2 linked regions of the Caenorhabditis elegans genome follow. The protein of the gene in region 1 interacts with the protein of each later gene in a pairwise test. Each region holds a gene or a part of one and is shown on either strand. Other genes may lie near its edges.

Region 1 (15,799 bases):
TTCTTCGGCGGAAGCAATCAACTGTATACAAACTCAGTACAATAATACATGCGCTGAATTTAAAGAGGTTTGATGGGACATTATAATATTCATTTGAAATGTATTATGTTATCTGAAATGACACATTACATTAATTTGAAAAATAGATGGCCATTTCACAATTGGTCTGCAGGGACCTCTAAATCATCTCGATTTTCTTAGAATAAACTGTAATCGACTTACTTGTGCCCGTGTTCAGACTGGTATTGATTTATGAGTCAATTATGAAAAATTAATGCATATTATAAAATTTTCTCGTAAATTACTGGGGTTTTGATATTTCTACCACAAACCTCTACCGGGCAATTCGAACTCTTGTGAGGCAAAAGAAAAGTCGATCAAACTTCGAATTATAGACGAAGCTCAATCTAGTGAGATCTTACGGTTGGAGAATATTCCGTCTAACGTCCAACGGCACGTACTGGGATCCTCATCTCAAAACAAACGTGGCTGCAAATAAAGATTATTAAGGCGAAAATGTAAACTGGTTCCGTGAACCAAATCCGTAATTTTTTCCTTTCCATTTAAACATGAAAAAGCTTCCTGGTACCACCAAAAACAGGCACAAGGGTCGACCTGCGTATGTAGTAGACCGACACCGACTGCCCGCTCTGGTCATACATGTCGGAAACTATGAACTCACCTGCTGAACAGCGACTTACCGTTTAAAAGCGACATATTCAGAATATGACAGACGGCCTCATGGGGGAAAACATAGCGTACGTGCTTCGCACTTTGGAATAGTAGAAATGTGGGGCGGGAGGGTGGGAAACCAACACGTAGAATGATGACAATCCGCCGGTGCGCCGAGGAAAGATTTCGTCGCGTCGGGACCCATCGCTCACTAAAGTCGATGCGCCTTTAAGCTGGCGCTACGATATTCGCTCCGCTTTCTCGGGGAAAACATAAAATTCTAGTTTCGCTTCGCTCTCCGAGAATTAGTTTTCCCCGATCAAACTCCGCTCTAAAATGTTAAACTCGCGTTATATGGTATTACGGGTTTATTGTTTGGGATTTAGTGTGGTATAGGGTAGAACAAGCAAAGCCGGGGGCTAAAGATGTAAAAGACTTAGTGTCTCGTCCATCCGATTGGTGAAAAACCGATATGTCCACCACATAAATTTCTAACCAGATAACAGCCCTTCAATACCCATCTCAGTAAAACACTGATCGTTACCCAGTAGAAACCTGTGCAGTAGAAATAATTCCCATTAAAGGCGGGCCACAATCTGTCTGAAACTGTCGTAAAGTATCCATACTAGAGCCAATCGTCTCGGGCTACTTCGACTCACACCTGAATAAGTCCTGACAAGGAGAATAGCTAATTGGAAAACAAATTACTCAACAACCTGCGAGTATCCTCCCCAGTCTTGAGAAACTCTTACGAAACCTGAGTTACTCTTACATAGCCCTGCATATCTCTTACGTAATGGTAGGTGACGGAATATGATTCGACATTAAAATACCTGGGAATCGCGTGAGCAACGAAAGCGATGAAATATAGAGCTAATTTTACGTATACCGGACCAATCGATCGCCGTATATAAAAGCCGAGCCTTGATGTAGCAGACGACGAATAGCCGTCTTTGTGCGTAAACTCGATATAACGTTAGGTCGTCCGTCTATCAAAAAAGGATAAACACTGAAAACAGAATGAATAGCGCCGGAATTCCACTCCGTTCCTGTCTAACCATCTACATAAACTGCAGCGATTGCTTCGTAAACTTGCGCAACTCATACGTAATCTGCGTCGTCGATAGCGTGAGAAGAAAAAAGGTTGAACCGGATGTCATGAAAATCGAAAAAGTGGGCGATAAAGTCTACACGGAATACACAGCTACGCAATTGCAAAACGCGCGGCATAACTAAAGAAAAATCCTCTCCTTATACGCTTCATCTTGAAATACCTGACGACGATTAACCCGGAGCTCGGTAAGATAGAAATATCGGATCTTCTGGCTATTTGTGCAAATACAAGGTTTTCCGAGGATCCAATTGGAAATCGGACTCCCAGTATGGTCTAGTGCCACTCTAACGTAGACCTGATCCACTCTTGCGTAGACCTGCGTGAATCCTTCGTAGACTTGCGCTACTCCTTCGAGGACCTGGACGTCTTCTTTGTAGGCTTGCTCTACTCTTCCGTAGACTTGAGCCAATCCTACTTAAAACGGTAGTAGAAGATGAAGCAGAAAAGAAGAACGGGATACCTTGAAAATCCGACTAAAAACGGAAATCATTGAGACTCACGGAGTCGACTCGTACTCATAAACACTCAGACCTGGCTCGACCGGTCAAAAGAAATGCGATGGAAACGCAAGACAATATATCTCACCCGACGAAAGATGTCGCATTAAACTGATAAGAAGGCCTGCCGGGGCCTGAAATCGTACTTTCGCGATAAAGAATTGCTCTTTCTGCGATGTGAACTCCGGCAACGTGGTAACCACAATGAAAAACATACATAAAATTCGGGTCGCCCGTTTAATGCGACATCTTTCGTCGGGTGAGATATATTGTCTTGCGTTTCCATCGCATTTCTTTTGACCGGTCGAGCCAGGTCTGAGTGTTTATGAGTACGAGTCGACTCCGTGAGTCTCAATGATTTCCGTTTTTAGTCGGATTTTCAAGGTATCCCGTTCTTCTTTTCTGCTTCATCTTCTACTACCGTTTTAAGTAGGATTGGCTCAAGTCTACGGAAGAGTAGAGCAAGCCTACAAAGAAGACGTCCAGGTCCTCGAAGGAGTAGCGCAAGTCTACGAAGGATTCACGCAGGTCTACGCAAGAGTGGATCAGGTCTACGTTAGAGTGGCACTAGACCATACTGGGAGTCCGATTTCCAATTGGATCCTCGGAAAACCTTGTATTTGCACAAATAGCCAGAAGATCCGATATTTCTATCTTACCGAGCTCCGGGTTAATCGTCGTCAGGTATTTCAAGATGAAGCGTATAAGGAGAGGATTTTTCTTTAGTTATGCCGCGCGTTTTGCAATTGCGTAGCTGTGTATTCCGTGTAGACTTTATCGCCCACTTTTTCGATTTTCATGACATCCGGTTCAACCTTTTTTCTTCTCACGCTATCGACGACGCAGATTACGTATGAGTTGCGCAAGTTTACGAAGCAATCGCTGCAGTTTATGTAGATGGTTAGACAGGAACGGAGTGGAATTCCGGCGCTATTCATTCTGTTTTCAGTGTTTATCCTTTTGTAGATAGACGGACGACCTAACGTTATATCGAGTTTACGCACAAAGACGGCTATTCGTCGTCTGCTACATCAAGGCTCGGCTTTTATATACGGAGATCGATTGGTCCGGTATACGTAAAATTAGCTCTATATTTCATCGCTTTCGTTGCTCACGCGATTCCCAGGTATTTTAATGTCGAATCATATTCCGTCACCTACCATTACGTAAGAGATATGCAGGGCTATGTAAGAGTAACTCAGGTTTCGTAAGAGTTTTCTCAAGACTGGGGAGGATACTCGCAGGTTGTTGAGTAATTTGTTTTCCAATTAGCTATTCTCCTTGTCAGGACTTATTCAGGTGTGAGTCGAAGTAGCCCGAGACGATTGGCTCTAGTATGGATACTTTACGACAGTTTCAGACAGATTGTGGCCCGCCTTTAATGGGAATTATTTCTACTGCACAGGTTTCTACTGGGTAACGATCAGTGTTTTACTGAGATGGGTATTGAAGGGCTGTTATCTGGTTAGAAATTTATGTGGTGGACATATCGGTTTTTCACCAATCGGATGGACGAGACACTAAGTCTTTTACATCTTTAGCCCCCGGCTTTGCTTGTTCTACCCTATACCACACTAAATCCCAAACAATAAACCCGTAATACCATATAACGCGAGTTTAACATTTTAGAGCGGAGTTTGATCGGGAAAACTAATTCTCGGAGAGCGAAGCGAAACTAGAATTTTATGTTTTCCCCGAGAAAGCGGAGCGAATATCGTAGCGCCAGCTTAAAGGCGCATCGACTTTAGTGAGCGATGGGTCCCGACGCGACGAAATCTTTCCTCGGCGCACCGGCGGATTGTCATCATTCTACGTGTTGGTTTCCCACCCTCCCGCCCCACATTTCTACTATTCCAAAGTGCGAAGCACGTACGCTATGTTTTCCCCCATGAGGCCGTCTGTCATATTCTGAATATGTCGCTTTTAAACGGTAAGTCGCTGTTCAGCAGGTGAGTTCATAGTTTCCGACATGTATGACCAGAGCGGGCAGTCGGTGTCGGTCTACTACATACGCAGGTCGACCCTTGTGCCTGTTTTTGGTGGTACCAGGAAGCTTTTTCATGTTTAAATGGAAAGGAAAAAATTACGGATTTGGTTCACGGAACCAGTTTACATTTTCGCCTTAATGATCTTTATTTGCAGCCACGTTTGTTTTGAGATGAGGATCCCAGTACGTGCCGTTGGACGTTAGACGGAATATTCTCCAACCGTAAGATCTCACTAGATTGAGCTTCGTCTATAATTCGAAGTTTGATCGACTTTTCTTTTGCCTCACAAGAGTTCGAATTGCCCGGTAGAGGTTTGTGGTAGAAATATCAAAACCCCAGTAATTTACGAGAAAATTTTATAATATGCATTAATTTTTCATAATTGACTCATAAATCAATACCAGTCTGAACACGGGCTCAAGTAAGTCGATTACAGTTTATTCTAAGAAAATCGAGATGATTTAGAGGTCCCTGCAGACCAATTGTGAAATGGCCATCTATTTTTCAAATTAATGTAATGTGTCATTTCAGATTATGTATTATATTGCTTCAGCCGACAGTCAACAGAGTCAACGAGGCAGATCACAGGCCGAAGCCCCAGAGTTCTTGACAGAGAAGTGCCCATTCGTTGGAGTGAAGAGCACCCTCGAGCAAGTCGGGACGCCGAGATGACATCGTTTCTCCGGACCCATGGAAGAGAAGAAAAGACGAAGTTTTAGGAACATTGCTCGAAACCGCTCGGTCCGTAAACGACGAAGCCTATTCGTTGCAGTGCTGACGGTAGCAGGGAAGTTGTTTACATAAAATATTAAGAACCGTTAAATTATTTAATAGACACAGTAATTCGGTTCATAGTTTTCAGTTTTCCCCCACGTCAGACACCATCGATCAGTCACCATGTGCCATCGCCGAGCGGACTCAGGCCGTACAATACGAGGAACACACCATACGAGGAACGATCGGACCGTCTACGATACTACTCGGATATATTAATTACCCGTTTTGAAATCTTCGAGGCCCGTTTATCAAATTCTAATTTGGGCGCCACGCGCCCAAATCCCCATTATTTATCACATTTATCACGTCCTATACCACACTAAATCCCAAACAATAAACCCGTAATACCATATAACGCGAGTTTAACATTTTAGAGCGGAGTTTGATCGGGGAAAACTAATTCTCGGAGAGCGAAGCGAAACTAGAATAACTTTTCTTAACCAATACATATTCTACTGTCTATTAATGTGTTTTCTATAGTTTTATTTTCAATAACGTTTATGAAAAAAGGAAAGACACTGTGTCAGTACTACTTTCGTTAAATCTTCACGGTTTGTGCAGATGTCCCTAACATGTTGTCGTCATACACAGGGAATTGAACCAGTGGGTGCCGGCACGCTAATCGAACGCGCTAACCGCAAGGCCACCAGTGTCAAGAGTTTATAATGCGAACCTTTTGTTCATATTCTTCGACACTTCAGTAGTCCCTTGAAAATTTCAATTAAAGGATATTAAGCAGTTTTTTGAAAGGTTGGGTAACTGTAATTTTTGTAAATACCTATACCAATGAATAAATGATGTTTCATTACAGAAAACCGCTAGATCTATACTTTCCAAGTATCAAGTACAGAATTACATCTGACAAGGGAAGTATTTCAACTTAATCCCGGACTTCTGAATGAAACCTATGTCATTTCGAAGAAGACTCTTTAAGTAGGTCCCTACAAAACAATTAGCGGCAGAGGAGCACTTTGACCTGGCAAAATATCGCTCTGAAAACTTTTCAGTGCATTTTTTCACAACTTTCAAGGCCCGTAGAATGGCTCCAAATGTGAATTTTTGTAGATTTTTGATAATTTCTAGGATGCTCAGGGGCCGGAGAGCACTCGGAATTTTTTTGGAATTTTTTAAACTTTTCGAAAAAATCTGAAATTTTTTGAATAAGTCCATGACAAAATTTTTCAGTGAATATAATTTTTTTTTTAAATTCAGAAAAGTTGTCAAAGTTATTTAATATCAAAATTGGGTGTTTTTACACAATGAAAAAATTTTTGAGATTTTTCGGAGTTGCAAAAACAAATTTTGGAAAAAATCGGCACCCGGAGTCGAACCCCAGACTTAAGAAATATTAATCAAACTCGCTAACCACTCGGTCATTCGATGACACTTTTTTTGTAAATGAAATAAATGACAAAAACCAGAAAACGTGACACTTTGATATCTACTTAAATATATAGGGACGTGCGAAATAGCATTGGAAAATGAGAGGACGCAGAGAAAAATTTTCAGAGCGACTTTTTTCCAGTTCAAAGTGCTCCTCTGCCGCTACATTTTTTGGAGGGGCCTACTTAAAGAAGGAGTATCGTCAATGGGAAAATTGTTTTAAAATGTAGTATTTGTACTCAAACTTTCAATTATCGCAAAAGAAAAACGGAAAAAATCCGTTAACATTCAGCATTTAGCCGTTGAAATCGACGAAAGTGGCTGAAAGTGGCTGAATTTGAATTTCGCGCGCAAATGAATCCTAGGCCACCACGCAACTTTTAGGCCATATTCGTAAACAAAATATTGATTTAAATGTAATTTTTCGAACTTTAATTCGCTTTTCTTTCTGGAAAAGTTCAAGAAAACTGGGAAGAAGAAATTGTATTGAGTATTTTTTCAAAGGACAATACCAAAACAAATAAAAATTCGAAAGATCGTCGTGGCCTAGGATTTCTGTAGTTAATTTTTAAAGATTTTTTCGACTTAAAATGCTGAATCTAAGCGGATTCTCCCGTTTTTGTTTTGTAATATTCTTAAGTTTGAGCACGAATACTACATTTTAAAACAATTTTCCCATTGACGATACTCCTTCTTTAAAGGGTCTTCTTCAAAATGGCATAGGTTTCATTCAGAAGTCCGGGATTATGTTGAAATGCTTCCCTTGTGAGTAGGCAGTAAATACATCCAATTTCACATAATCGAAGAGAGATCATTCATTTAGGATACATTGTGTTGTGATTCATGACATTTACTACAACACAACCAGCTGATGTGTGTGATTCAGGTTTTAATTGTAGCATCTTGTGATTGGAATAATAAATTCAATATATTTTCCCAATTCTGAATTTGTGGATACAAACGTATTATTTTTAACTGAATACCTCGTGAAATCAGATTTCAGATTTTGAAAACAATATATCTGACTATAAGTTGCGTATGTAGACAAATTCCAGGAAAATAATGGCTCAAACGACACGCCCCTGGCTTCAAGTTACTATAAAATAGGTTAGGAACAAAGCACATATAACCATGTATTCAGTTTAATTAATTTTTTGTTGGCGGTGGCATGAAATTCTCATAATTTCATTAAGATACCTTACAGCTCCATGTCGGGAGAATTGTGGATTACCCTAGTTGACACAGCGGACATTGTCGGCGTCACCCTCACCTTCTGTGTCAACATTGTTCTTCTCGGACTTCTGAAAACACGTGGAAAAAACTTGGGCACTTATAAATATCTCATGGCGTTTTTCTCAGTATTCTCGATTTTTTACGCCATCATCGAGTTCATATTACGACCTGTAGGCTAAACTGTTGAACTTGAAGTTAATAATGTATTAAATTTCAGATAATGCATATTGAGAACACCACTTTCTTTTTGATCTCAAGGAAAAGATTCAACTACTCCACCAAACTTGGAAAAATCAACTCTGCGTTTTACTGTGCTTGTTTTGCCACCAGTTTTGTTGTCTCAGGAGTTCACTTTGTTTATCGATATTTTGCAACTTGCAAGTAAGTACAATTGTAAAACGGGCTAAGTTTCGTATTTCTTTTGTTAGTATTGCTCTATTAGTACAGTATCCAATAGGAACAGCATTATAAATAAACTGCAAATGATCGGTTGAAAAAATGACTTGTGGAACCTTGCTGTAAAGGTGCAGCACTAATGTAGGATGCAAAACTTGTAGGGGTGGACTATTAGCTCTCTATTATTAGTATACATACTTTTAGATTAAAATACTATAACACCCTTCACAGACCGAATCTACTTCGTTTGTTCAACTTGCCAACTCTTCTACTTTGGCCACTTGGTTGCAGTGTACCCGTGACAATGTGGGCTAGTGTCTCATATTTTTTGTATCCAGATACCGAGTACACGGAAGCGGCTGTCACGTATGAGATCTATGAATTGTAGCTAGGAATTTTTTTTTTCAGCAATGTACTAAATAACCACTATAACTGGATCAAAAAGGAGAATGTATCGTACATTGCATACGTCTATGTAAGTTGATAACACGGAAACCATCAAACTAGATACTTTCAGTACCAATACGAAAACGGAGTAAGGCATATCTACCTCAAAAACTTGCTTGGATGCTTTGTTCATTACTTTGTCATGGTAAGCGGAGATGTTCCTAACATAGTTATTCAACAAGGTTTTAGTCGATGACGTTTGTTGTGATGTTCTACTGCGGATATGCCACGTGGAAAACTATGAATGAACACAAGGATGTATCTGATAGAACTCGAGCGCTACAGAAACAACTTTTCAAAGCTTTAGTTCTTCAGGTATCCCGATCTGAAACTAGAAACATGGTATAAGATGAATTCAGACACTCATCCCAACTATCTTCATGTACGCCCCAACTGGAGTCATGTTCATCGCACCGTTTTTTGACGTGAATTTGAATGCAAACGCCAATTTCATTGTGTTTTGCTCATTTCTGTACCCGGGACTCGATCCACTCATTCTGATTTTGATCATTCGTGATTTCCGAAGAACAATATTCAGTAAGAAGAAAACATATATATTACAAATTGACAAATTGCAAAATTTCAGATTTCTTGTGTGGAAAGAAAAACAGTGTTGATGAATCCCGCTCGACAACAAGAGCCAATTTGTCTCAAGTTCCGACGTGATGAATGTTTTTTGAAATACTGAGAATCGCACAATTGAGAAATTTTAATTTCATTGGACTTGTCATGAGAATGAAGTCATGTTATACAGTTTCAGGATTAAAAAGGATTAAAGGACGATCCGTTCTTCAAGTGCTATGCACTGCGGATCTGGGATTCAGGTACACTGCCTGGTGGTGATCCCTCTAAAAAAAACTTTTACTATATTTGGGCATTTTAGAACTAAAAGAGAAGTTAGAAGCAACTGACTTGTAGATAATGAAAAAGCTGAAAAAAGCTGAAAATCTATAAAAAGAGAACAAATTAGTCTGCTTTCGGTATGTTACCTGCTTATGATCTATGCTTGGCTCAATTTCTGAAAAGTAATCAGACTCTCAGTTTTTTTTTACTTCATCAAGTTGACTACAACATTTAAAAGTAACATGTTTGATGATGGTCGTTTTTATATTAAAAAAAAGGAATGAAGAGATATAGAAAATTATTTGAAAGTGGTAATAAAAATTGAAAACTTAATTTTGATGCTTTTGTGGTGTACAAATTCTCCAACGCTTTAAATGGAAGTTGTTATTATAAAAATGATATTAACTTTTAGGAGCTGTTAGTACTAGAAAGTAGAAACTAGAAAGCACTAGAAAATTTGGCTGATGATACCTTTTTTGTACTTGGCTTCTAAACCAAAATTAAAAAATTAAGAAAGAAACAACAAAATATTTTTAAAACATTCACCATTAAATTTTTGATTGGAACATGGAGCAATTGAACATTGTACGTACAATACAGTAATCTAAACATTTGAACACAAACATTAGGATAGCGGTTTCTTGAATTTGACAAAAGGTATGAGGAATTGAAAAAAAAAACATGAAAAACGTGAAAACTTTCCTTTGATGTCTTTGTTGAATCTTCATTTTCTAATTTTTTTCTATAGAAGTTGTTGTTACCAGAGTCCTATTTATTCGCAAATGTTGCCAGTTACTGTCTTTTTCCGAAATGTGGCTGATAATACTTTTTTGTTTTCTACCGACCCAAAATGCGTATGAACATCCGTTCGATTTTATTGAAAATGCGCTAGAGAAGTACACAATCAACAGTGGAAACCCGCAATATTTATATGTTTTCAGAATAGTGGACTGGAAATCAGATCCCTGTGATGATTTTTACCGTCATGCTTGTCCAGTTGGCAGCATTGAAGACATTATAAAAGTATCGATGCAACCTTTAAAAGATGCATTAAATCATTCGTGGAAGCAGAAAGGTAATAATATTTTTCCTGGCCTGGCGAAGAAGGTATGTACTTTCAAGTTGAATTGAGTTTTTGAGTTCAGGCCAACGAAACGAGGGAAAAGTCTATAATATCAACTTTCGAAGATCCCACATATGCTGCCACTTTTTTTGCAAATTATTATTTATCTATGTAAGTCTGGTATGAAATAAAAAACATGTACCAAGTGTGAGGATCTTGTAGAAACGAACCCTAACGTGAGAACAAGCTAAATGTTGAAGGGAAACTAGCTAATTCACGAATAAATTCAGTTTTCCAACAACTAATCAGTAATTACACTTTAGATGCAATTCCTCCTATCTTCCAACTCAGTTGTTCACTTCCAAGTTTGAGAAAATAATCACTAACTTGTACAAAGAAGAAACATTCAGTTTGTACAATTTGAAAAGTTTACGGTGTAGTATGACCACTGAGGACATAACAGTATTACTCACACAGTACTTTAATACGTCGTCGGAAAGTTTTGTGAGTGTTGCTATTTTTTATGAAACTTGTCAGATTGTTTTACAAATCTCTGTGGAACTTTATTTTGAAGCACAGAGCAATTTGTTTCTAATATTACATACAAAAAAAAACAAAAAAATAAGATTTCAGTATGACTATCAATATAGATTTATCAATTATGTCACTTTTTACGACGGAATGTTGCAACCATTATATTACCACGTTGAAGCAAATGTTACTGACGGAATTAACGAAATTCACCAAATGATGGAGGACATGGTAGAATTAGGGAATATTTGGCTTGAGGTAAACACTGAATGTGTGATTTTATACCAATTTAACATTTTTAGAAAACTCCGTGGGTTATTAACAATAACCTAACCGAGGAAATGAAGAATATTACAAATGCAATTAAAATGCCAGTGTCACTGACCAAATATACCAACTTTATTTACAATTTGCTATCTCCAATAGAAACTGATTTTCTGAATTGTGTTTCCGAATTTGAAGGAATTCAAAACAATACTCTATTTTGCTTATTTTATTCAGCGAAGATATTCGTACGCACACGTGGTAGCTATTTCATAGATGATAACGGCTACAATGCAGAAGGAACAATTTACTTTGGTTTTCCAAATTATTATCATACTACATATGGAAACTGGAGAGCATCAAAAGTAAGCCTAATACTTTTATGTTTTGTATCTTTTGTCTGTCAAATTTTTTGAACCATTCAAGCAATAAAAATACAAGTAGCGTACATTATTCTCTATTACTCTTGCAGTTTCTGCTAGTTTTCCACACTAACAAGCTAATCAAAAAATTAGTCTGCCTTTAATAGTATTGCCGTGTTTAAATGTCGGGCACATCTACAGCTTGATATAGACTTCCATGAAAGACTAATAGAGGAAATATGGACTATTTTTCAGCTGGGATACACAGGAACACGAGTAGGTCATGAAATCGGCCATACTTTCATTGAACACAGTATCAATCCTGACGGTCTTCCGTATTTTTCAAAGCCAGCTGAGGATTGCGTTCAGAATCAATATTTAAAGACTTGCAATGAATATTACGAAGGGGAAGTGAGTATTAAATAATTCAATTTTTCACCTGACATATTGTTTTTTGTTTAAGGTTCCTGATGCTTGCAATACTTCAGACTATACATTTGATGATAATGGTGCTGATGTTTTTGGTCTGCAACTTGCATATGCAATACTGGAGAGAGATTTGAGCGACCAATTGAGAGTGCGTTGTATCACTTTTCTTATTTTGCTATAAACAATTTAAGGAGCAAGCTGATGGTTTAAAAATCACAAACGAACAATTGTTGTTCTATTCATTTGCCTACAGATTTTGCAGGGTTAGTACATAAAATTAACATTTTTGACTGTCTGATAATTGAGGGATCAAAATCCAATACAACAGATGGCTCGCATTCGCATCACAATGTTCGAATTAATGCTGTTGCACAAATGCCAGGATTTCAGCAAGCATTTAATTGTGCAAGTGACTCAAGAATGATGAAGTCTGCAACAAAACAGTGCGTCATTTATGGTAACAATGCTCCGGAGACACGCAAATAGTTGAATGGAGATAGCTGACGTTCAGTTATTTATCGTTTCACTCTACATTTAGTTTTGATTCAAATTTTATTCGCTTGTTTTTAAATTTCATATAAATTTGTAGACACTTTTCATTATTCAAAAATAAAAGTCTTGCTAACACTCTTTGATAAATTGTTCGATAGTTTATGGTATTTAAAGTTTATTCAATAAACGAAAAGCCATAACATTATTACTTATTATGTTTTTAAAAAATCCAAAAACATTTTGAACCGTACATTTTTCAGCTGAACTAGAGAGAACGAACTGAAAATCTATAAAAAGAGAAGGAATTGCGTTTAAAATGCATTTCACGCGTTAATGTGATAATGAATTCTATAATTATTGTTTAAAAGTGCAAAATGAAAGAATAGGAAAATTTCGAGGACGAGATAGGGGATGATATTGATTAATTAGATGAAGTTATGGATAGAAAAATAGAAGATTCACCGATTTACAATTTTGACAATAGAGGGGGAAATGAGATAATGAACTCTAATCACAAAAAAACATCAAAGATTAGATAAAAAGACAGACAAAAAATAACGTGGCAAGGGCAAGAGGAAATTTGCTGTCAGATGCCGAATCCATCATTTCCAAATCGTGATCATCTAACGTTTTTGCACGCAATACCACACTATCTCCTGTAATAGAGTCGTTTACAACTTGTTTCAGAATTATTATTCCTACCAAATCCAGCTTCATTAATCTGTCGGAATCTCCAGACATATTCATGTCCATGTCTTAGCCCATTAATTTCGTAAATTCCATCATCCTCTGTAACATAATTTGAATAAATTTTTGTAATCTAGGTTGAAAATCACTCACTGATATTTCTCTGCATGAAAATTGAGTGACTCTTCCAGTAGGCATCAGAAATATCCTCATCGGACACTCCAGAAGCTTCGGCGGTTCCGGCTCGGAGGTGGCGAATTTCAACGGCGGTCATTGGAAGATCTGGATCTCGATCGATAGATTCTACTTTCCAGATGATGGAGTGCCTCTTGTCCTCGATAAGAGTTACTTTTGGCTCAGCTGGGGCATCTGAAAATGGAGCATTAGTAATGGAAAAAACTGATAAAAGTAGGGCTGGCAATAGGGAAAAAATTGACTTCCAATGGTCTGAATTTGGAAAACCGGACTTTTGTTCACTCAGAATTCGGCAGTTAGTAATCTGAAGGTAACGAATTTATGCCCTGCTTTATCCAGATTCTCAGTGATATGGTCTTTTCATTAACTTAATTGTAATCCTGTAAGATAGTTGTTTCGGGTGCCGTGAATTATCAAACATTTACATCATCAAGTTCAGCACTCTTACTCCGCTCAAACAAAATCCGAAGGCCAGAACTCTAGTTTCAAAAATACAGACAAATTTAAGTGTTCGGCAGGGAATGTAGTGAACATTAACATTCAAAAAAAAACTCACTGGCTTCTCTAAGATGAATTGTATGGTAGGATTTTGCTTTGATATTGTTAGCTTCGCATTTGTAAGTGCCCAAATCGTTCTCATTGACATTGTGAATTTTGAGATGTGCTCCTTGAGAAACTCCGACATTCACAAAAATGTTGAATTTATCGCTCATCTTGATCTCCTCGTCTCCGTGATAAAAAGTGTAGTGACGAACTGGTGGGAAGGAATGTGTCACATTACAGTAGATAATTGCATCACGGACGTGGTTATCAATAACTGTGTACTGCACAGATTCTTCCGTCTCAAACTCGGGAAGGGCTGCAAAATACATTTTTAAGAATAGTGCAAATACTAAACAAATGTCTTACTGTAAACTTCGATGTTAACATCTTTTCTGTCAACAACTGGGAATTCTTCCTTGCTTGTTTCCTGGTGCATCTCAATAGTAATACAAGACACTGTTAACTCGGCATGCTCTTTTTTCAAGCTATCAATGGTGGCTTCATTTCCAGCAATTGTCCAGATTTCTTCATCGAGTGGCTCACCATTTCCATTTGTCATCTGAATCATTGGTTCTTTACCGGATGGCCCCTTAACTCCACAGTCAATTGTGATGGGCTCTCCAAGAAGTGCTCCCTTCACAGTATCTTTATCATTCCATTCAATGGCAGCTGTAAATTTTTAAATATTGTTTTGAATTATTTTCAGTTCAAGTAAAACTTCTTACGGAGTACGACCAATTTGATGGTCTTCTCGAAATTTTCTCCCCCAGCAGTTCTTCCTGTGCACGTGTAGAGTCCGGTGTCTCTCGTGTGAACCGATGAGAAATGTAGCGATGTTTTGCGATGTTTGCTCCCCTTTTCGTTCAAAATCACAGAGAAAAGACTGAAAAAATCTTTGTTTTTGGATTTTTTGTCGTTTTCTGCGTGTAGATTTTTTTTTATGTAACTGGTTTTGAATATCGAATTTCGAGGAAAAATGGGCAGAAAAGGAAGGGAAATATCCTATTCAAGAAATGAAATATAACACTGCTTTTTTCGGCTTTCATCACATTTTTTATTTGTCGAAAAAAAAATTGAAAAGTTTTCTAACCTTGGATTGGATTCTCCGTCGATATTGTTTCCATTAGCTTGTTTCCAAAGAAGATCACTTTTGTGGATTTGTTCGTCACTTTCAAATACACAACTAACCATTAACTTCTTTCCTGAAATAATAATTTTCAGAATATCAAAAAAGTTAAAATTTTTAAATATAATAAAAACCTTCTCTGACTGTGATTGTGTTTGTGTCGTAATCCATGGCTTCTGATGAAATGACGATAGGATTTGCCTCATTGGAAGATGGACTATCTGAAATTTAAACAAAATTAAAACAATTTATTTCCCCTTTCATTGTTAGTCGGAAAGACTGGAAGCGTTTTGGATACCCATTTCCGGTAAATATATAATTAAGGAAGTATGGCGGACCGACATATCGAGTTTCGTCGATGTGAAAATTTTCACGAGTCATCTGTTTCGACTCGATTACATTCATTCGAAATTACCTATCTTATTCGAGCCTTTTAGTCATTTATTTGCACAAAGTGACTCATATTTGGGTGGCAATAATAGAAAAGAAAACAAGTTAGACACATAGTTATCGCGCAAATTTAAGACGTCGGACAAAGTGAAGAACATTTATAAAAACACAACTTCTTAAAGCATTAATGAGCACAGCAAAATATTTGCACTGACCAAAAAGAATCGTCTCAACGAACAATGGAATTAAACGATTATCTCGCGTTCTAACGAATAGACTTCTTTTTCTCAAAAAATCCTCGTATTCCAAGTAATCTACACCTGTAAGGGAGTTTTTTAAAATTTTTTACTATGTCATTTTAGAATCA
Region 2 (15,799 bases), on another chromosome or scaffold:
AAAGTAAATTATTAATTTTTCATGATAAGGTAGCCCTCTTTCTTGCTGAATTGTACCGTGCCCGTAGGTAGGCAAATAGTCATTTTGTAATAAAAATACGTTATATATAGTTTTATGGTAGGCTTTTATGGTATGGTAGGCTAATTTGGCATTTTGGTATAGCTGACCGACCTACCATGTAAAACAAATGATGCCATTAAAATTTAAATTCAGAAACTAACTTTTGATACAATTTATCGAGATGTTATAGGTTATAATCCTTCTTGACTTTTATAACATACCAATCACTAAATCTCTGATGTTTTATTGTTCAATTCCAATACACGTATCTGTTGAAAATACTTAACGCTTTCCTAGAAGCAAAAATAATTATTGGTTAGAAGCCTAGTTAAATAATGTTTTCAAGTGTTGTCGACTTCAAATCACTAGGTATGGTGTTATAAAAGATCAGAAATTTAACCGACAATGTTCAGAAGTTGTCTTATTATTTTTCGTATACTGAATTTTTTATCAAATTGATATTTTATACTTTTTTTGTGTTTGGTGTGGCTGTTTAATAGCGAAGGTCAGCGTGGAACGTATTAAAAATATTTCTCTGTACTCGGAGAACACGAGTGTTTTTCACACCTAGCTCACTTCTGATATAAAAACTTCCTTATTTGTTGAAGAAAATAATGTAAAACGACTTCCCTGTACATTGAAAAAAATTCAATTTATAAATTGTATACTAGAAATCAGCAAAAATCAAGAATTTTCGAACATTCCAAGCTATGGGGATAAATTAAAAATGATTGCAAGAGTATACTCTATAGGATACAACTATTTAATAAGAAGGATTTTTGCAGCCCCTTTTGCAAAAGTTCATCACAAGAAAGATTATTTACCTAAGCCTGTTCGTTTCTTAAAATCAACTTTTAATTCTATTATAATTTCAAAGAATTGTTGAGATATTAAGAACTAGATAGATATTAAGAACTAGATATTAAGATAGAGATATAGGAAGATATTAAGGAGATATTAGAAACTATCGGATCATTAGAATGCTTAACGCTCTTGCGCGCAAATATTTTGTAGCGAAACAATCTTTCTCTGTCTCTCTTTTTGCCAGATTATGTTCTGCTCCCGCTAATTTTGCTCCAGAAAATATGCATTCTCAGACGGTTTCTTAATATCTCTTATTTTCCTAGACATTTTCTAGACAGAATGTTCTTTATGATCCAACAGTCCTTTTAGTTATTTCTCCTAGACATGCTAGATATCTAGTATCAATACACATGTCTCTACGTCAACTGATTCACTATATAAAGCTCGGTGAAAAATTTGTTTTCTACGGTAACCGTGTATTCAAAAAGTAATTATGCCCACTATTGTTAAATCGTTGTTTCTGATTTCTGTACCCCTATTTTTCAATAAACCGTCTAAGTTCCTTGTTATTGTCATGAGATTGGTGTTATATAAAAATCAAATATGATTACAGACATTCCATTCTACGGAAGATATTCAACTTGGATATACGGACAATGTCTTCGGATAGCCTCTTTGTTGGATCAATTTTATTTTTTGTAAGTGGTATTAATTAGCTAAGAACTTGAACAAAGGAATCTTGAAGTTCCAATAGTTGTTTTCCAGGTTTCCTTAACTGGAGTTTTCACGAACTGGACGGTACTTTTGTTTCTTCCAAAAGTCTCATCATTTAATAAATCATTTGGTTATATTACTTGGAACCAAGCGTTTGGAGATGCTCTTCAATCCACCACAGTTTTTACTTTGGTTGTACCAATGGTCTTTTTGTTAGTTTTAATTATTTTGAAAATTTTAATAATTTATTTTTTCCAGTGATCTTGAAGTTTTAAAAGCAAACTCCAATTACATCTCCTTGTCAATGCTATTGGGTTATGATATTTCAGTACTTTCCCATTTACTTCTTGCTCTGAATCGTCTTTGCGTTGTCGCAAGTCCACTAAAATTTGAGACCTACAAGTTAGTAGTAGATTTTACGAACTGAAAAAAAAACAATTTCAGTGAAAAATATACTCGCCCCATGATAATATCTGTCAATATCTACGCATTTGCATCAGTTATCATATTTTTGCTGAGCGGTTGTAAATACAGTTGGAGCACTGAAATGTGGATGTTCTTGTACCATGTGTCAAATCAATGCGTCAGTTTCTCATTTTACGCTATTTTCTGTAAATACATCAGCATAATCTTCATAATTGTGCTAATTGATGTATTTGTGATTTGTAAAGCAAGATTTATGTACAAGAAATCGAAAAATGATGCGAAGAGTAAACAGATGAATTCAAAAGAAATCTGTTTCCTCGTACAAGTGAGTCATACTACAGAAACTGTTGAATTTCAAAGATCTATGGTTTCAGACCTGTCTTCAAGGAGTTTTGTTCAGTATTGAGCTAATTTGTTATTTCATAATCTCACCGAGAGTTGAAGACACGTGGGTTCGCTTTTTCATGACAACCTTTGCATTCTCAACCATTCATGCATGCGATGGGTAAGATCACAAGCCAACGACGGAAATTATCTAATTTTGGATTTTTAGAGCCATAAGCATTGCATGCAATTCGGACTTTCGATCTTACTTGCGTAGATGTTCAATGAAGAAGATCAGTAATAGAACTGAATCCGCTCTTTATGCATCAAGAGTTGATACAAGTACACTTGGAGGATTCCGATCGAGAACTAGCACAATCAATGCTTCGGCAAGATAAAAAAAACACTTTTTCTGGAAATATTTGTGTCGGAATGTTCATTAAAATTCAATAAATGTAAATATAAGCAGTTAATGATAACAACTTCTATCTTGTTCTGGATATGTCAATTCTAGATTAAGTTCTCCAATATCCATCCACTGTGTGGCAGTCCCAAAGTGAATAAATTTTTTTGGAATCAAGAAGGTTATCTTCTTTTGGCACGGCTAAAATATAAAGTGTGACATTCTAACAACCGGAAAAGGAACCTACTTTAATTCCATCTTCACAATCATGATAAATGTATAAAACTGGATCAATTGGTGTCAGTTCACGTGTTGTTCCATCAACTCGAAATTCTCCGTCTTTATCAGTATACTTCTCATCGAGAAGATCATCTGCATCACCTTGATCTAAGAAAATCCATTTTGAAGAATATAGTTCGCATCATATTTATCACAAGTTTTTGAAGTTTCACATTCCACGTTTGCATGACTCAGAAACACCCGCCTCATTCGAAATTTTAAACATATTTAATCAAAACGTTGTGTTACAAGTTACAAACAAATATTGTTTCAAAAATTATCGATGACATTGAGCTCGATTTTTGAAGTATTAGTTCATGAAAAAGTTCATGAAAAAAACATTTAACATTTTCTAGAACGGGCACATCAAACGACTCTTTTTTGCTCACTCTCTTATTTGAATTTTCAGGACTAATTGCACCTAACCCAGGCCTAAATTTTTTGTCTCGATATTGAAAAACAGTTAGCAAACATTACTGACAATTCATGACTCTTTTGTTCTTAATGGGCCACGTAGACTTTGAATAAAAAACTAACTTGTATCAATGTCGTATAACTTTATTTTTGCATTCTTCCAAGGCTTATCTCCACATGCCAATTTCCCTTTGACTGCTACACCTTGAAGACGGAATGCAAGAGAATATCCAAGTGAAATTACAATTATCGATGCAAAACAATAGTTCATTTGTACTAAACAATAAATAATGTAATCATACTGATAATCATTTATGTTTATAACTTGTTTCCAAATTGAAACCGTAAGATACAAATGTTTTATGTTCAGCGGAACACTTTAAAATTAAATAAGAACAATATACACATGTTTATTAAAATATTTATTGAATTCAAACTACCATGGATCATTTCTATCGTCTGGTTCTTCATCTCTTCCTTTAAAAACATTTTTTGTAGTTATTTTTTCAATTTCGACGTTTCTCAAATTCCGGATCTTCTTCCAATGTTCTCGACGAATTCTCAACTTATCCACATGTTTTTGTCGTTCTTCATTGTGCTTCACTCTAGTTTCTAAATTGAATTCTCCCAAATCAAAAGTGTTTCCAGATCCGACATAGTACTTTGGAATCTGAAATTTCAGTTTCCGTTGTCCAGGTTTTACACCATCATCACAATCATGATAAACTGCAATAATTGGTACGTAGTCTTTTTCAGTTGTTTCTGCACTCAGCTGAAAGTTTCCTTGTTTGTCTGCATGTGTTTCGTCGACTATTGATTCTGAAAACTCATTTATTCGAAAACAGATAAAAAATGCGATCTATTTACAGATATAACAATTTTATATTAAAATTTAGTTTTACAGCTACATTTTTCACTTTGCAATTTTCTGAAACGTCTATCAAATGAGTTCAAATTTATTGAGATTCGTGAAAAATCGTTCGACTGTGAACTGTTTTTTTTGAACATTTTTTTTTAATTAAAAAAAAAGTTTAAGATGTTTCTTTAAAAAAATAAATGAAAAATTGGCCGTTACGATAATGTTTAAATAGTACAAACAGTTAAAGGAAACTATTTCTGTAATAGTATAAGTGTCAATTAATAAACCAAATCCGATAAATAGACTCACTTTCAGAGTTCTTCAAAAGCTTGACTGTAACTGCTGATGCTGGATATTCTGCACAAAGTAGACGTCCTTTGACAGTCAGAGAATGCGAATTTATGACTGTGAATAAAAGAGACAAAAAACAGAAATAACTAATCAATGGCATTTAATTGACTGACTGATTCCTTTTTTGGTTCTCCTTATCATTTGTTTGTTTTTATCAGTGATGCTCAAAATGTTGTCTTATTTAAAATTTTTATTGTTTTCAGGTTTTGATCAAATTGGGTTACATAAGAAAATGTTATGCACTTTTGCACCACATTCGAAAAGAAAAAATAAGGGACAAATATATATTCAAAGGGGAACATATTTAAAGAGACTATTGAAGTTGGGGAATTTCAACTGTGTCACAATAATTAAAGACACCGGCCACATCGAATGGAATACATGAGAAGGGGAATATTATAAACTCTCGGGAAAACATAAAAAGTTGTTTTGTTGAAAAACTAGAAGAACACGAAAATGTATAAAAACTAAAAGATGACACCACCAGAGAGAAAAGATTCTAGAAATGGGAATGTGTTAGTAAATAAAAGATTATGCACATATAAATTAATGATTTTTAAATGGTAGATACCCGTCGGAAATAGATTTCTGTAGAAGAAGTTGAGGAGAAGACGAGATGGAAATAAAGAAGATACACATAGGAGCAGCAATCGCATTTTAGAGGCCTGAAAGCAAAAGAACGGTGAGTTTAAACGAACATAATTGTGTAGAGGAAAAATCAGGAAAGACGCAAACAAAAATGTGGTTTTTATGGACAGTCTAGAAGGAAATTCTTGGTTTCCAGAAGAAAAACTGGATAATTCTAACTTCAAAATTAAGTTTCAGTATTATTCCCTTGAAAGTTTGAAAAACATATAATAGCGAAACTGGACAACCTATTGCATTTTACTACGATACGTTTCAGCTTTTAACTTTTCAACAGTATTGTTGTAAAACGCGATTGAAATATAATATTTAAGTCACTTTCAAAACACGTGTTACCAACTCGTCGCCCACTTTTTGCTCAAAAATACAATTTTGGTAACCGATTTGTGACAATGTTTTGGCAAGACTTTGATGGGAGAGTTGCACTCAATCTTGTATCAAAAGCAAGAGAGCGGAATCTTTTTGGCAAAAAGCGGAGTGTGGTCATAACAAAGAATTGACCTGGCATTACCCATGGTTTCTTCTTTACCATGTTTTGTCTTAAAATTTCGATTAAGTATATTTTCAGGTTACTTCTTAACAGAAAGTAATCCAGTTTTTTTTCTGAAAATGCTTTCCCTATGTGTATTTCCAAGTGATAGAAATAGCGAGAGAAAGAGAGAGAGAGAGAAAGGCACAAACATTTCAGTACAAACCGCATCCTTGCAAGTTGGCCTGGATAATCATATCAATCACTGAGTCCAAAATCATTTGTACTTGATCTGTATCTGTTGCACACGTCTGATGCATGTAAATCGTCTTTTCTGGATTTGCATTCAATCCATCAAACTTTTCCTCAATATATCGACACGATTCGTCGTAGGTTTGTGCACCTGAAAATATATGGGCAGAGTGTGAAAAAGTTCAATTAAATCTTACCTTTATAGTCTGGGAATGCGGATTTAATTGAAGTTCTTTTAATCTTCTCGGCAAACAAATCCTTCTTATTTAAGAAAAGAATCATTGAAGTATTGATGAACCATCGTGAATTACAAATTGATTCAAACAGCCTCATTGATTCAATCATTCGATTCTGCAAAAAAAAAAACAATTCTCAAATAAACCATAAAGTTTTCCTTGTTCTAACCGTCGTCTCATCTTCAAACAGAACTTGATCATATTCTGAAATTGCAGCGATGAAAATAATTGCATTAACATCTTCAAAACAATGAATCCATTTCTTTCTCTCTGATCGTTGACCTCCAACGTCAAATACCCTGAAACTCATGTCTTGCAAACTCATGAATCATTAACTATTCACACCTAAAATCTACACTTTTCATTTGAAATTTAACTTCAACAATTCCAGTTGTCTTGATTCTAGACAGAAGAATATCCTGTTCAGTTGGATTATAATCGGGTAACTTGATACGATCAAGACTTGATAGAAAACTAAAAAAATATAAATGTGAATCTTGAAGTTCTAGAAGTACAGTAAAATCTTACTGTGGTGCACTTTCAGGCATTTGGAACTCATTTCCTTTTGCAATAACTTGCTGAACGGCTTTATCATTCCATAATGCTTGAATGGCATTTGCTAATTCTTCTGGGAAAACTTTCGCTTCTTGGAGCATTTTATGAGACTCCATCACAAATTTTGCATCATTTTCTCGAATTGGCTTATCAAAGGTCATTCGAAGTGCTTCCATTCCTTTCAGAATTGCAGTCATTGCTTGAAGGGTATTATTGAAAACGACACTTTTCTGTTGTTCAGCCTCTTCTGCAGTAAATCCGTGATCGTGAAGAATCCTCATTTGTTTCAGAACCGTACTTTTTCCACATTCTCCAGCACCTGAAATTAGTAAGAGTTTAATTTTGCCAACTTGTCACAAACCCCAGCTAATTTATTTTTCAACTTCTAAATTCTCAGAATCAAATGAAAGAAACAGCTGAAAACCTAAGGCTACGCACACTTGATATCTGAAAATTTGACATCAACGGGTTCTACGTAGTTTGTAGTTCTTTGATAAGCTTCAAAAGAGAATTATAACTTGATAAATAATTTGATTATTAATATTTAGAACACATGAAAATTTTTGCGGGCAGTTAAAAAAGTAGTGTTTGCAAGAAGCCGGGTGAGAGAAGAAACTTTAAAACTTTAATAATTATTTTATATGATTTCGAGAAAATTGAGTTGATGTTCTTTATTCTTATTACTGATCATTTCTCATTTTCTCTGACTTGTCCTTTTTGTCTGTAAATATAGTATTTAAAAATCACAGCTCTTTCATTCTCTGAATTATTAATCACAGTTATTACAAATTTGAAGTAATTTTTTGAAAAAGTGTTCGAGAACAGAAGGGAACATTTCTTCTGAAACGATAATATTTTTTTATCCCAACGTTCTCATAAATTAAATTTTTTGGACTTTTCAACAAAAGCGGGTAACAATTTCTCACACGACACTTTTGTTTTGCTTGTAATTATTTGATTCCGGCGTATTATCAAAAAGTCAAACAAGTTCTCAATGAGTCATATGATTACCGTAAAACAATTTCTGACTGCGCGAAGCTGAATACAAAAAATAAGTTTTAAAATTTTACCCAAAAGCAGAAGCTTCACAACTTTTTGCTGTGACATATGGTTCTGCATCATTTCCTTATCGATCGCTTTTGATTTCAACGTCAGTTCTTTGTCCTCTGCAGATTGGCATAATCCCATAATTGTTCTTTGGCTAATAATTTTCTGTAATTTGAATATAGATTTGAATGAAGCACAACTCTAAAAAGCCCAAAAGTTCAAACAAAAAGTGAAAAATGAAAAGCAGGCCTGATTATGCGACAACCGAAGTTTAACGAAACGAAAAATAAGAAAAGAAGTAGACACGGGGTAAATGAGAAGAAAATGAGAAAATGCTCGTTAGCGGGCGGGCGGCGGCGACGGCGGTCAGAGCCAAAGTCAGATATTCAGAATTTTGTGTTGTTGATATCTCGTGTGTCTCTTTCTTTTTCTGTTTCACCTCGACAATAATGAAAGACGACAGCAAGCATTTTTTCACAAGAAATGGTGCTGCCAATTCAACAAAACGACACCAAGCTGTGACGCATTGAAAATGAACAAATATCATAATAATGAGTGATAAAAGATGTTCGATTCAGCTGAAAATGTTCAATAATACATTAATCTTTCGAATAGAATCAATTTGTACATCATCATGAATTTCACATCTAAATGAACGAAAGATAGACTATTGTTCGATGGAATAGTTCCAGTCGTTTCTTTTTGATGTTTCAGATCTTCCCGGAAACTTAGATTATTTTATTGATATTCGTGGTCGAAAGTCTTTTTCAAAAATCAATCAAAAATCAATAGGAAGCCCCCCAGCTCTAGTTCCACTGGAAAATTATTTCACGCATATTTCAAATGTCGACGAATGCTTAGACATAAAAAAGAAGCATACAAAAATAGACTCAAAATGAATGCATAATGTTTCCAGGAGTATTTGAGGGTCCACAATCAATACGAGTATTAAAATTGATTTTTGTAGTGAAAATTACAACGGTTGATACAACCCACCAAAATCTGTGCGATTGGGAAATTTCAAATTTGTCTAATTAGTTAGATTCTAAAAATTGTAATTGAACATTGAACCAAGTTTCTCAATATGAACATATAATATCAGAAATCACCTCGTCTACGATCATTGAGGTCAGAGTGGTCAGTACGAAAAGTGCAAACATCTATTTGCAAAATAAAATTTCAGGAGGCGTCAAGTGACGGAAAGTTCTAGTTTAGTAGTCAAGGAAGGATAGAGCTGTAGTTGGCGAGAGTGTTAAGATTCTTAATATCCCACGGCATTTACTTTTAGAAACGCTAACTTTTAGAAATGCAAAAATGAGGTTTGTGATCGATATTTATTGATAAAATTCAAAATTTGAAAAATACTTAAATATTACTTTAAAAAAGATGAACATGACTTATTTTAATGATGAATTTTCTAGTCTCCACTGGGTAATTAGATATTGAAACTTTTCAAAATAACAAAAAAAGTTTTGTTTTTCAAAAAAATGTTTTTAGACAACTAGAATAAATACTTGTAAGGAAGTTCTAAAAACTGTTTTGTTTCTTAAAAAAAACAACGAAAAAGTTAGTATTTACGTGAGTTTTCGCAATGTGTCCCAAATCAAATGTCTTCGGGGGAAATCACATGTATTTCCCCAAATTTCTAAGTTTGCAAGTAATTTTGATGGGGTTTTACAAAAAAAAAATCATCTGCCAGGGATTATACAACTCGACGGAAAAGTTTGTTAGAAAGTTTACAAATATCCTTGACAACTATGTTTTTCACAAATTTCAAAACTAACACACATTGATTATGAATTTGTATTTGTCAGCATTTTCATTAATTTTATCTATTTGAGTTCAAATGAATAAATCTAAAAACCCATTTACTTGCCACCAAATTTAAATTTTCTTTTTCTCAACCGCCATAAGAATATCGTAAAAATCAAATCACAAAAAATGAAATAACAACGAAATTGGTTAAAAATGGCTCCCTTCAGCTACACATAATTCTGAAAATCATGGGCGCATGGTGTCGTTGTCATCGGAAAATAACAGGTGCAAATCAGTGAAGTGAGAGCTCACCGGTGCGTGTGTGTGAGTGTATGAAAGAGAATAAAAATATTGGTGAGAAAAGAGTTAGAGCAATTTCTGTTTACGTCACACAGTCACAATACCTATGTGGAATACAATGAGGGATTAAAAAAGGCAAGGACTATGAAACAAGGATACAAAGAATACAGCAAGAAATGTATTCTATCAGTTTTTTCTTGAATGAAGCGTCATAGGAACATCTGGAAGATAGCTAGAAATAGAATTCGGTATGAGATTGAAATTAATCTTACAAAGCAATTCCAGACTAACCAGAAACTTTCAAATGTGAAACAGGATTAACCTGTACTGGATTAAAATGGTGCAAGACGAGTTGGTTGTAACCTCTTTTAAGCAAGTAGAAGAGTATTCCTGGATTCATTTGATATTTGAGAGAGTTACAATTATTTTTTGCAAAGTGATTCCAAATTCAAGGAATATTTATCATAAATACAAAAAATTTCGATTGAAAAACACAGAAAATGGTAACAATAAGATAAGATCAGATGTTATTGATTGTTTTCAAATGAATGTACTCTTTAAAAATTTTAATTTTTTTTAAAAATCAAGCTAGACATACAAGCTTTCTTGAAAGTTCATAAAATAAACTTTAAAAAATGAGAGAAAAATTAAAAAATTGTTTCCTCAATAGTAAATCGTGGCTAATTATAAGTTGTAGGCATATCTCCACGGACAACCAGCAAGTATGAATTATTTTATTTTTATTATCACATATACTAGGGGAGCCTGATTTTTTGTTTGATTGAAATCAACTTTTCTTTTCTAATTTGTTCCGCATTGCATTGTTATTATTCAATTGAATTAATGAGGTAAAAAGAAAATGTTATAAATAAAGTATTGATATAGACTTGTAAATACTAACTTATTTTATTTAAGACATGCTCAAAAAAGAAATCAAATTATACCTTAAAAATAAGAAATCCCGATAAACGATGTAACAAAAATAAATTCAAACAATTAATAGAAAAAGGCAAAGGAAACGTTTTCGAGATGGATAAAAAGAAGTCAGAAAGGAAATTAAAGGGTTCCTGACATAATAATGTGTGGGATTGAAATCCTGCTAGAATGCCAATTGATATTACTTTCTTCGTAGATCTTATGCAATTTTCAATAAGAATCTAATGAAAAGTTTCATCAGAATTACGAAGTGAAGAAAAATAATCAAAGAATGAATTTCAAACAATTAATATTGGAAATTTAGATTAACGTTGAAAAATTGAATAGTTGGAGACAACTACATATTCAATAGATCTTTGAAATTAAAATTTCGTAAGTTCACGCGCCATGCAGAAACTTCTTGACTGCTGAATTTTTGATAAAGGTTATAGGAAACTGAAATAATTAATTTTCCACCTAAAAAGTTGAGTGATTTCAGATTTACTTCAACTTCTATAAAATCAATTTTTCATTATTTTCCCTTTTAATCAAAAAAAATCAAAGAGTTCAATCAACAAGATTACTTGAGAACATTTGATCAAACAATGGATATGCATACTTTAGAGCAAAAGATTAAGAATCAATGAAATTCAAGAAGAGTGTTAATATGTATACAGGAAGCATAAACTTTTGAATATGGCGTCAAAATATTGGATCAGCTGTTTTTGATATCTAAACTGAATCAGCCTTATTAAATGTACTTTTCATACAGATATGAACTAGAAGATTGCAGACTATCATTGATGAAAATATAAGTCTGAAACTAATCATTTTCGAAAAAAAAGTTATTTGAATTTGGTACTGCTCCTCATGTAAACACGGGCTTCCAGCATCTCTCGTATTCAAAAAAGGAAAATTGGCTGTTAAAAACGTGCCAGTTTCTTTTATCTTGGAACTTTGAGGATGAATGCTTTAGAAACTTGAAAATTAAAAAGTTCGGAAAATTTAAATGTTAATTAAAATAATCAACTTCCTATTCTAATTAAAAATATGGAAGAACCAAAAATCTATTGAACCATTTAATAACAGACATAACAAGTATTTCAAAACGTTGACTCATATGAATATTTCTGGTTTGAATGATCGCATTACATTGTACTTTTACACTACATGCATTTTTCAAACTAAAATATACCCTCAGTTGATCATTCTATAAGCTTTTGAATATACTTGAACCAATTCGTTTCTTGGAGTATCAATAGAACAAGTGCAACTAACTACATCCTAGACATTAATTTCTTTCTGAAAGGCGATAGAGGGTATAAAAGTAAAATATTCATTTTATGCTACAAGTTGGACTTTAAAAATCATTAAAATCAAATATTTTTTCAAAAGAAATTTCGATCAATTTTTCCAAAAAAAAAATTTGAAATCATTCCAACTCCAGACAAAAAATTTTGGGTTTTTAATTAGATTCGCACGCTTTTCTAGAAAACAGCCTAGTCTAGAAACTTATTACAAATAAGAAAAGACAGAGAAATAAAATTAAATGGGGAAAAATCAATGTCAGTGACGTCACAAGAGCTGAAAAAAGATCATTTTGTTCAGTTTCAAGACATATTGCTTCAATGAGCAGTAACGATGAGATTACGTGGTATTCGAAAATTCTAGAATGTTTCAGAAGATGATTAAATATGGGAATGAATGACGGATCAAAGATTAAAACACTTTAAATAAGAAAAATTCTTGAATTGACACTATTCCAGCTGGGGAGAGACGACGCTGGAATGAGTGGGGTTTTTTGATCAAATTTATTAATATTGATAGTTCAAAGTTGTCATTCTGATTTAATAACTTTCATTTTCCCAAGATAATTATGTGGTTCACTAACAGAATGAATGTAATCACATGAAACAAGTAATCAAAACAGACACATATTGAGCAATCGAGGTGATAACGTGAGCAACCGAAAACAGAAACGATATGTCTATAGCCATATACGCAAATTGGGACGAGTTTGAGAGCATGATTTGAGAGCTTTTTTTTTTGAATTCGTAACTGTCTTAAGTATTTTTCTTAAGTCTTAAGTACATAAGTATTTTTAATATAATTTTTCTTACAATTAGAAACAATGCTCAAATTGATTTGCCGTTCTGTAGCTTACAAATGTGATGTAGCCAGGTGCTTTAACGTTGCCGAAACGAATCTAAATCAAACATTACTTGTAGCTAGTCTATAAAGTTTTACTGTATTAAAAATCATAAAATTTTGTTCAGAATTCACATTTTGATTAACTTTACGTTTTTTATTCAGAGCTGGGAAAAAATCCTGTGTGAAAAATTAGAAATTGAATGAAATCATACGAGAACTTTCTTTGCCAAGACCTTTGATATTTGATTTATACTTGACAGAATTTATTATTCCTATTCCAAAATTCCCAAGAACATTTATGATTTCTTGGTAGACTTTCTGTAATTTATAGCTCAAAAAATTACCATAAGTTTTCAGAATTAATTTCGCGAGGAAAAGTTAAAAATTTTATTATAACCATGAGAAAAACAACACATAACAAAATAATATTGCTAGATTATATCTCACAAAAATTCAATTTACTACGTGCATTTTTCTATTCTTCAAGTGGGAAAAACGTTTTCAGGTACAAAAGAAACTACGAGATCAAGCGTCGTTCTAAAAAATAATTTCTTAATCTGGAAAATGATGGGACAACCTTTTCAGAGTTGTGGTAGATATTAAAATTAATCTGGTGTTCTCAGAACTCATACATCTCAAATAAAAATGCAAAGTTGGTAGTGAAAAATGTGCATAACTGATTAAACCACAAAATCAAGAGACTTGGTAGCATCTGTCTAGAAAATGAGTCAAGAAGAAATAAAGAAGGTAAAAAAAGATAAAGATTGGGATTTGTATTCATTCACAGATCAAAAAAAAACCAAAGAGATAAGTAAGGAATAGGTAAATGAAAAATCAACATATTTCTCAATAAAGGAATTTACCTTATGGTGTTTTTGGAATAACTTCAATGAAGCATAACGCTTGGTATTTATTCCGATCAACAACTTTTTAAAAACTTTGTTTTTGATGATAATATATCCTCCCTTCTTCAAACTTCTATAATTCTTCTGATCCCTAAATTCTATTCCCCGTAAGATCAAACCAAGAGGGTACACTCTGATATCCCGTGTGCCTTGTTAATTTGTGTCGATCAGGATCCTTGAGGCGATGACATTTTCGTGACGCCGGCACCGTGTCTGATTTTTGATCACGATAAGTGTCCTCTGACAAGTTGTGAGACATCAAGTTCACAGTGCAGAAACCCAGACAATTAAAAAAGTTACAGTGACGAATGTACATATAAAATTATCATGATTAGTTCTACTATCTCTATTTTGGAGTTGAAATCTACTCGAAAAATATATTCTTGTATAAATTTGGGCACGAAGGAGATAATAATATTCTCTAGACTTAATAGCTAAGTTTTCTAAAAAGCAATTCTGCCGTATTTACCGTTAGGGTATTTCTAGAAAGGTTTGTTTCGAAAACATCAGCAGTTGGAAATAATAAAAATGATAAAGTTTTTGCATGACTATAAGACATGAAAATTATTTTCTTTTGAAATACCCCTAATCATATTAATTTTCAAAAAGAAAAGGTTTATATGAATAATAATTATGATTCAGGTTTTAAAACCCATCTATCTGATCGTAAAAACAGGAGAATTTGTTCATGAATCAAATCTGGTTAAGTAAAAAACGGAACTTTTTTCTTGTTATGCTACTTGTGACTTATAATTAGTGAATTTCATTCGTCATGTCTACATCATTACCAGTTGTTATTGTCAAATCATATGATCAGGGGTTTAGAGCTTGCGTAACATGGACTTTCAAAATGTCTGCTTTTCAATTTTCGGTATCAACTGTCTGAAACAGTAAGTGAAGGAATAACAGCAAAAAACCTTAAACATTCCAATCTTATAATATAAATCTTCAATGTAAATCTATGACGAAAACAGCCAATCTTGTATGTATTAACAGGATCTAAGAGAAAGCTGTGAACCGAAAGAAAATGATTAGATTTCAAAAAGTGTCGCAATATGAGAATGACGGCTTGGGAGGCTAGAAAGAGCTGAGCCAATAGAAGGTTGGCAAAGCAAGACGACTCGAAACGAAAAAAAGCAGGTAAATCATAACGGTCGTCATGGTAACTTCATCGACATGCTCTCACTTTCTTAGCTGTGTTTGATAACAATATATGTGTATTGAGAACAAGCACCACCTCTTGTGGGGAAGTTTACTTGTGACGCTCAAAAGATCAGCGGGCTTCTGGAGAATGTGCATAGCTTGGGATGAGAATATTAAAAATACATGTATACATCACAAGAATAGGTAAAACGTGGGAAATTGGTTCCCGGAAGATTGCAAAACGTGTGTTTTGAGCAAGAGTTGATCGAAGATTATTTAAACGAAAGAGGGTGGAGAATTTCATTATCTGAATATGACAACTCCTGTTCCCACGTGTTCAAGAGATAATGGGATGAATCATTTGAATTATTTCATTTTTATTAAAATTTCTCTTTTTGTCACATGAAAAATCATCGAAGTGGAAATGGATGAAAGAGGAAGAGAAAAAACTTGAACTCACTGATTAAAAGTATATATTCTGTGTAGTTCTTAGATTCATCAGGTAAACTTCAGACACATCAGCAACAGATAGAGAATTTTTCAAAAAGAACTTTTGTCAATTGTAGTATAGGGAACTAGTATAAAAAAGATGCGTTTAGAACATTGGCAAAGTCTCCCAACACAGAAATTGGCAGATTTTCGAGTTGTAAACCTGTGTTTCATATCATTTTTCGTAAACCAAGGGTTCACGCATTACGAAAATCGTTCAAAATAAAAACGATGTACGGGTCTATATTCAAATTAAAAGTGTGGCAAAGAGACAATCTTGAACTTAGTAAAAACTGGAACATT

The links.
Region 2: the proteins of odr-10 (region 1) and gpa-3 interact in a two-hybrid assay, tested with the Caenorhabditis elegans proteins (one study listed by BioGRID).

What each region holds. Positions count from the first base shown.
Region 1 is NC_003284.9:6,857,776-6,873,574, reverse strand, and holds odr-10 (Serpentine receptor class r-10), read left to right. Parts: upstream 1-7,635; 5' UTR 7,636-7,639; coding exon 7,640-7,834; intron 7,835-7,881; coding exon 7,882-8,045; intron 8,046-8,291; coding exon 8,292-8,426; intron 8,427-8,468; coding exon 8,469-8,535; intron 8,536-8,577; coding exon 8,578-8,652; intron 8,653-8,696; coding exon 8,697-8,822; intron 8,823-8,866; coding exon 8,867-9,044; intron 9,045-9,093; coding exon 9,094-9,173; 3' UTR 9,174-9,260; downstream 9,261-15,799. Other genes in the region: F41C6.4 (Peptidase_M13 domain-containing protein), read left to right, coding at 1-73; C53B7.6 (uncharacterized protein), read left to right, coding at 4,806-4,943; nep-4 (Peptidase M13 C-terminal domain-containing protein), read left to right, coding at 10,161-10,246, 10,292-10,425, 10,496-10,584, 11,047-11,202, 11,247-11,573, 11,826-11,981, 12,034-12,147, 12,191-12,262 and 1 more; Neuronal immunoglobulin domain-containing protein rig-3, read right to left, coding at 13,023-13,147, 13,194-13,280, 13,332-13,547, 13,930-14,232, 14,283-14,585, 14,642-14,799, 15,007-15,118, 15,177-15,263. UniProt on the Caenorhabditis elegans protein: An odorant receptor which affects chemotaxis to the volatile odorant diacetyl. Specifies AWA neuronal cell fate via the odr-7 pathway.
Region 2 is NC_003283.11:9,351,772-9,367,570, forward strand, and holds gpa-3 (Guanine nucleotide-binding protein alpha-3 subunit), read right to left. Parts: upstream 8,004-15,799; 5' UTR 7,980-8,003; coding exon 7,862-7,979; intron 7,111-7,861; coding exon 6,765-7,110; intron 6,711-6,764; coding exon 6,582-6,710; intron 6,536-6,581; coding exon 6,406-6,535; intron 6,352-6,405; coding exon 6,198-6,351; intron 6,152-6,197; coding exon 5,975-6,151; exon of another isoform or gene 5,961-5,974; intron 5,300-5,960; coding exon 5,292-5,299; 3' UTR 4,808-5,291; downstream 1-4,807. Other genes in the region: srx-46 (7TM GPCR serpentine receptor class x (Srx) domain-containing protein), read left to right, coding at 1,521-1,562, 1,630-1,790, 1,837-1,980, 2,023-2,329, 2,379-2,509, 2,558-2,726; ttr-40 (Transthyretin-like family protein), read right to left, coding at 2,798-2,932, 2,979-3,118, 3,548-3,695; ttr-49 (Transthyretin-like family protein), read right to left, coding at 3,861-4,243, 4,593-4,734. UniProt on the Caenorhabditis elegans protein: Guanine nucleotide-binding proteins (G proteins) are involved as modulators or transducers in various transmembrane signaling systems. Promotes transcription of 3',5'-cyclic phosphodiesterases pde-1 and pde-5, leading to reduced cGMP levels in sensory neurons.